Linked DNA regions of Callithrix jacchus. The protein of the gene in region 1 purifies or fractionates together with the protein of each later gene. This does not show direct contact. Links are inferred from orthologs where the notes say so. Each region holds a gene or a part of one and is shown in the gene's direction. Other genes may lie near its edges.

Region 1 (3,718 bases):
AATGATCATATGTGTGAAATGTTTAACCACGAATGTTATGAGTAAGATCAAATTGGAATGGCTAGGCCTTACTTGAATATATTAAACAAAGCTTACTTATCTAAAGTGAATGAGAAGATGTCAGCCCAGCCAAGATCGATGACAGTGATGTTTCCCAATGACAGGCAGAGCTTTTAGGCTCACCTGGGCCACACGAATAGACATACACAGTTGAAGCTTTTAGGCCTGAGTTGAGTAACTACTTTGTCAGATAGCTGATAAGCTTGAATGTGCTCCCTTCTACAATATCAGCTTTATATACATAAAGTCGAGCCTGTACTTAGCATTGTCTGGATTACACCAGGCTAAACCTCATCTGTGCCAAGTGTACTTCATTAGTGTTGTCCACTGGAAGGCAAATGAGGAAAGGGTTTCATAAGCTAAGATGAGGCTGGTGGATTAGGAGGAAAAGAAGGAGATTTTAGGGTTCTAGGATAGAGCTAAGGTGCTGCATTTCATTTGTTTGTTTGTTTGTTTGAGACGGAGTTTCACTCTTGTTACCCAGGCTGGAGTGCAATGGCACGATCTCAGCTCACCACAACCTCTGCCTCCTGGGTTCAGGCAATTCTCCTGCCTCAGCCTCCTTAGTAGATGGGATTATAGGCACGTGCCACCAGGCCCAGCTAATTTTTTGGTATTTTTTATAGAGACGGGGTTTCACCATATTAACCAGGATGGTCTTGGTCTCTTGACCTTGTGATCCACCTGCCTCGGCTTCCCAAAGTGCTGGGATTACAGGCCACTGCTCCCGGCCTGCATTTCTAACAAACTTCTGCTGATGCTGAGCTGCTGGGACTGTAGACCAACACTTGAGGGTAGCAAGGCCCTAGATTATTATGGTGAAACCTCTACAGGGCCAGAGGGTGATGATTAGAAGTGTGGTTGATCTGCTGACCTTTCATGGTTTAGAGCTACTCCTGTCAAGGTTACTTCAGCAGGAGTCACTGAAGGCAAATGAGGAAAGTGTTTCAGAAGTGGGGCGGGACGCCTCTGTCAAATGCTGTCTATGGGCCAAGAAAATTGAGGACTGAATGCCAACCGTTGGATGTAACAATGTGGAGCATATTGGTGGCTTGATAGGAGTGGCTTCATGGGAATGGTGACGACAGTGTGTTGCCATGTATCTGTCTTAGCCGCCTCAAACCACAGAAGGTCAGCAGATCAACCACGCATCAAAACATCAGCCTTCTGGCCCTGTAGGGATTTGGCCAGAGTGACCTAGGGCCTCGCTACTCTCAAGTATGCTCTGCAGTCCCAGCAGCTCAGCATCACCAGAAATTTGTTAGAAATGCAGCATCTAAGCTCTACTCCAGGACCACTGATTCAGAATCTGCATTTTTTTTTTTAGAGACCGAGTCTTGCTCTGTCACGTAGGCTAGAGTGCAGTGGCATGATCTTGGCTCATTGCAACCTCAGCTCCTGGGTTCAAGCAATTCTCCTGCCTCAGCCTCCAGAATAGCTGATACTACACGTGCATACCAACACTCCTGGCTGATTTTTGTATTTTTAGTAGAGATGGGGTTTCACCATGTTGTCCAGGCTGCTCTCAAACTCCTGACCTTGTGATCCACCCACCTCAGCCTCCCAAAGTGCTGGGATTACAGGCATGAGCCACCCCACCATGACCGGTCAGAATCTGCATTTTTAACCAGATCTATCACCCAGTAATTCACAGGCACATTGAAGTTTGAAAAGCACTGATCAATGATCTTTGTAGCCATCTACCACTGCTGATAATCTACCTTCTTCTACAAGAGATTTTCTGTCAAATATTCTTTAACAAATTAAAAAAGAAAATTATTCCTATTCTATATATGGAGAGTGGGAACATGCACTAGGGCCTGGACTATAAAAAACAGAACTGTGGCAGAGTTACAGTGAGGGAGGATGCTATCCACATGCACTATGTTCTTTGTGTTTTTTATTTCTGCAAGTGTAGTTATACTGTAGTGAAAAGAACATATATTTTGCTATTAAACAAACTGGGATTCTAATTCTGATTTGGCAGTTGCTTTAGGTATAATCTTAGGTATGTTAGTTAAATTCTCATCTTCAAATTCCTCACCTGTGGAAAGGGCGTAGTACCTTTCAGTGATTTGAGCATTCAGACAAAAGACAGTACGTAAAACATCTAAAAGATGACCTGGCACATAACAGGTGTTTAACAAATAGAAGTTGTTATTATAATTGTGGGGTATGTGTAATTGTGTAATAGTTTCTCTGTTTTGAAATAAATTGAAAGAACGGGCACACAGTAACTATTTAAGAGGCTGTGACATGAGGTCTCTTGCTCATTTGCTGCATAAACTTGGACCCTGGTCCTCAGTTTCTACATCTGTAAAATGGACAGGTTAAGTTAGATGGTTTCTAATTTCTTTTCCACTTTAGTCTGTGCACAATTCCAGATGAGATTTATGCTCCAAGTATATTTTCAGTGAGCTAGAGCTTACATCAAGTTATAATGGAAGTGCCATTCAGTTCGGATATCTCTGATTGGAAATTTAATATGAGGAAATTACAGTGAAACACGACCAAACATTGACTATTATGTATTGCAACTATTAGGTCTGACTGTATTAGTCTATAATGCAATGTAACCAAAATGGAATTATGTCCACAACTTAGATTTTTAAAACTATCTGGCCTTGCGGATGTTATTTATCTCCTCAAAAGCACTTATCAGTATATGTGAAACTATAGAAAATATAAAAGTTAAAATGTCATTCTACCGCTTCCAATATAAGAATCTGTTCAAATTTGAGCAAATATAGAAGTCAGATGTTTCATCTAGAATTTTCCATTGCTATTTGGGATTCAAAAGATGTATATTTATGCTGACCTGAAGCCTCTTTGATATATCTAACACTGAATGATCATTATTGTTGTCAAAGTTTGTAGAGGAAAAAATAGTCAGATTTTCATGTTTGTCCATTTCAGTGCTGTGGAAATCTTCAACAGGGCTCTCATTCTGAAATGGATCCTTCTTGTTGCAGTTTGGATTTGCTTATGAAAAAGATCAAAGGAAAAGACCTACAGCTCTTAGAAATGAACAAAGAGAATGAAGTATTGAAAATCAAGGTATCACTGTTAGAAGTTTCAAATTTTGTGTTTTGAGCCTTTGGGCTAATAGAGTGTGTTGTTAGTGTTCATGGCTCTGTAAAAGCAGAGATGTCCATACATATCCATAGGTCCCCCTGTATGCTCCCTTCCCTGGAGAAGGATTTTTATATTTCACAAATCATATCTCACTGTTTTATTGTTGAGGCTTCTTTTGTTATTGAAAATATCTTACAAAAGTTCAAGTTATACCATTTTAGTCATGCAAGATGAATAAGTTCTAGAAATCTACTGCATAAGGTTATGCTTATAGTTAACAATACTATACTATACACTTAGTAGATTTCATGTTAAGTGTTCTTATCACAATCCGCAATACATTTTAAAAAGTGTGTTCGTATTTAATAAATATTAACTATAGCCTTCATGGTAAAATGCCACAATATTCTTTAAATTTGTCTATTGCTGAATGCTTTTGATCTTCCTCTTTAAAGGCTTATTTTATATGCAGTCCTGCAATGAATATCTTGGTAGGGAAATCTTTACAGTCATCCTTGACTGTTTCCTTAGGTTAAATCCTGGAAAGATTCATGACATTTTAGCATCATTGCCCTCAATACTT
Region 2 (3,718 bases), on another chromosome or scaffold:
GGAAGAATCTTTTAAACAAGAATCACAACCTCCAGAAAAAATTTCAGGACATTCTACAAGCAAAGCAGAAAGAATGGCACAAAGTGAGAGCAAGAGAAGAAAAGCCGAGGAAATTCTGAAAACTCAGACTCCAAAGGGAGGCGACAAGAAGGAATCCTCCAAGTCATTAGTGCGACAAGGGAGCTTCACTATAGAAAAGCCCAGCTCAAACATACCCATAGAACTTATTCCCCATATAAATAAACAGAATACTTCTACTCCTTCTTCTTTAGCGTTAACATCTGCAAGTAGGATACGGGAAAGAAGTGAGTGTTTGGATCCTGATTCTAGTATGGACACAACCCTTATTCTAAAAGACACAGAAGCGGTAATGGCTTTTCTAGAAGCTAAACTACGTGAAGATAATAAAACTGATGAAGGACCAGATACTCCTAGTTATAATAGAGACAATTCTATTTCACCAGAATCTGATGTAGATACAGCTAGTACAATCAGTCTGGTTACTGGAGAAACTGAGAGAAAGTCTACCCAAAAGCGAAAGAGTTTTACCAGCCTCTATAAAGATAGGTGTTCCACAGGTTCTCCTTCCAAAGATGTTACAAAAGCATCATCTTCAGGTGCTAGGGAAAAAATTGAAAAGAAAACAAAAAGTCGTTCCACAGATGTGGGTTCAAGAGCAGATGGTCGTAAATTTGTTCAATCTAGTGGGAGAATAAGACAGCCTTCAGTGGACCTAACAGATGATGACCAAACCTCCAGTGTACCTCATTCTGCTATCTCTGATATTATGTCATCTGATCAAGAAACTTATTCTTGTAAACCTCATGCTCGGACTCCCCTTACCTCAGCTGATGAGCATGTACATTCCAAACTGGAAGGAAGTAAAGTAGTGAAATCTAAGACTTCTCCTGTAGTACCTGGTTCATCCAGTAAATCCACCACTCTTCCAAGGCCACGACCTACCAGGACTTCCCTCTTGCGCAGAGCACGACTTGGTGAAGCTTCAGACAGTGAACTTGCCGATGCTGACAAAGCATCTGTTGCTTCTGAAGTATCCACAACAAGTTCTACATCAAAACCTCCCACAGGAAGGCGCAACATCTCTCGGATTGATTTATTGGCTCAGCCTCGTAGAACACGACTTGGCTCACTGTCAGCTCGTAGTGACTCTGAAGCAACAATTTCTAGAAGTAGTGCCTCTTCGAGGACCGCAGAAGCCATCATTAGAAGTGGAGCCAGATTAGTACCATCAGATAAATTTTCTCCTAGAATTAGAGCTAACAGTATTTCTCGACTCTCAGACTCCAAGGTCAAAAGTATGACCTCAACTCATGGCTCTGCATCAGGTAAATTGGATCCAGATTTTGAATAGCATTAGCATGTTGTATATTTTGGGGTACCTTTTTTAAAAAAAATTAAGTCTCTAGTTGTCTTCCCAAGATACTCATTCAAAAGAAAAACGTTATGATATACAGGGTTTTTTTTTCCTATGAAATAACTTTATTTAGCCTAGTAAATGGAAAAGTCAGAAGTTATATATACTTCCAATTAAAGTCCTGGGGCAAAATAGTGATTTCAAAAATTAGGAATTCATTGAGCAGATTTAGCAGTTTTAATTTTCCAGTTGGTGAAATATTTGGATTTGTGTGTCAAAATTAGATTATCTGGAATTATCTGGTTTAAATAATAGGAATTAACATTGTGCTTCTAAAAGCATGTATTTAACCTTTAAATATCCTCACATAATTCAAAGCGGTGAAGAACTTGAAAAAAAGCAGTATATGCTTTATTATTCCTTTCAGAGTTAAGTGAAATAATATTTTGTTCTTTTTTTTCTTACCTATTTTGAATGTCTTTCGTTCTTTATCTATACTTTTTAAAGTTAAATTTGTTTACAGTTGGAGCAGGTGAAAACTAATCCTTAATTTATTTCAGTGGAAGAAGATGAATTCATGGGGAATCACTCAGCATATACTGGTCAAACCGAGCTGTAGAAATTTTACTGGTTATGAACATTATCTCACAAAGTGCTGTTATATCATTTAACCCTAGTAATTAGGTGTAATTGAATATAATAACTACAAAAAGTACTTACTCTCCACCAGAATTTAACTGCTATTATTATATTTGTTTGCTTATGTACTTCATAGTCAGAGCTGAAGCCATTGAGATACATGTGTGACCAAAGAGTGATGAGGTGGATATTTGTTTGTATCCTGTAAGCATGCTCTCATTACTTCATAATGAGCTTATATGAGGGCGTGGCTGAAAAGGCCAATGTGGGAGAGCATCTGTTATAACAGACATGAAGATGGCTGATTATTTTCGGTCAGCAGACATCTAAGTGAGCCCTAAGTCTTGAGTTAAGTAAGAGTGGAGGGGAAGTTGATGTGAAATCTCATCTTTTTATTTTTGATTGGTTCACATCTACCACACTGTGTCCTACAAGACCCAGAAGGAACGGTACTTTGCATACGATACTTTTTTACCTTTCTTCCTCTTTTTACTGCTGCTCTCCTCCACTCCATTCACCTGTCTCTCTTTGCTGGTCAGTGAGTTTGGTAATGATGGTCACTGTCTCTAGTAGGAATGGATGTAGGCTGAAGCCAGATAACATATAATCATGATTCTAATAAAACATAGACATCATTTTCCTTATTACCCCAGTCTTCATTTCCATACTTGAAGCTTTGGCTGGCAGTTCACAAATTTATTGCCAAATATTTTAAAACTAACTACTGTATTTTGGTTGATTTTTGTTCTGTTGTTGCTTATAGCTCTAACTCTTCAATTCACATTTCATCTATACTGCATTTCCTGATGAAATTCTTCTGCTATCCTCCGTGTTTTATCACCTCATCCCCATTTAAGTACATTAAGATATGTATATATTCTCCTGTCTTAATGTAATTGGTATGTTACCAAGTAGCTTGGAGTACCTCTTAACACATGATGTGGCCTTATTCCTCGATATTTAGGATAAGGCTTGAGATGCAGGCTAAATATGATTACATCAGCAAGTCTAAGAAACAACTGCAAGTTGCTATTATAAAGATAAATTTCATTTCTGCTGCCTTGAATACAGAACTTGATAAATGTTCAGTTAGTTGTCTGTGTCCAAAAAGAACCTTGAATTGTGTATGAAATTTCCTAGGACAAATTGAGGTATATGATTTTGGTCTTTTCATACTTAATAGCAGTAAATTAAATAATTAGACTCATGGAATATTAGAGTTAGGAGGGTTATTCCCTTGAGAGAACTGAGGCCAAGAGAAGAAATAACCTGCCTTATCCACATGGCTGTAGCAGGTATGAGAATTTTGTCATGCCCAGCCTGTTGTTTTTCGACCATATTTATTCTAGCTCTAAGAAATAGTTTAGTGTTTACTTGTGAGCAAGCTTCGAGAAGACAGAATCTACTGGATTATTATCAGGAGCATATGCAAGGTCAATATACAATATAAAGGTTTTGGTATCGTTTACTAAAATCTTTGCTGCTCTGATGTTTTACCCAGTGTATATTCTTTATTCCACCTTATGAGCTTAAAGCCACATTGTAATCTAGGGTTGTATATTCAGATTCTCTCAAGATGCGCATAGTATTACATCTTATCTAGGACAGTGGCCAGGATCTTTCATTCAGTGGGAACATACTATAATAGCTGTATGGAGAAGGTAGTCAAACAAACAAACATACCTGTTCGATTTTGCTAATTTA

What was found. Proteins that work in one complex are often made in the same cells at the same time.
Region 2: the proteins of CCDC68 (region 1) and CEP170 purify together in Homo sapiens (co-immunoprecipitation; 3 studies listed by BioGRID and IntAct, counting the BioPlex papers as one, with this or other methods). This does not show direct contact. The link is inferred for Callithrix jacchus from reciprocal best matches to the Homo sapiens genes CCDC68 and CEP170.

The regions. Positions count from the first base shown.
Region 1 is NC_133514.1:98,119,667-98,123,384, reverse strand, and holds part of CCDC68 (coiled-coil domain-containing protein 68), read left to right. Parts: intron 1-2,976; coding exon 2,977-3,117; intron 3,118-3,718. UniProt on the Homo sapiens protein: Centriolar protein required for centriole subdistal appendage assembly and microtubule anchoring in interphase cells. Together with CCDC120, cooperate with subdistal appendage components ODF2, NIN and CEP170 for hierarchical subdistal appendage assembly.
Region 2 is NC_133520.1:42,978,384-42,982,101, forward strand, and holds part of CEP170 (centrosomal protein of 170 kDa), read left to right. Parts: coding exon 1-1,346; intron 1,347-2,095; exon of another isoform or gene 2,096-2,198; intron 2,199-3,718.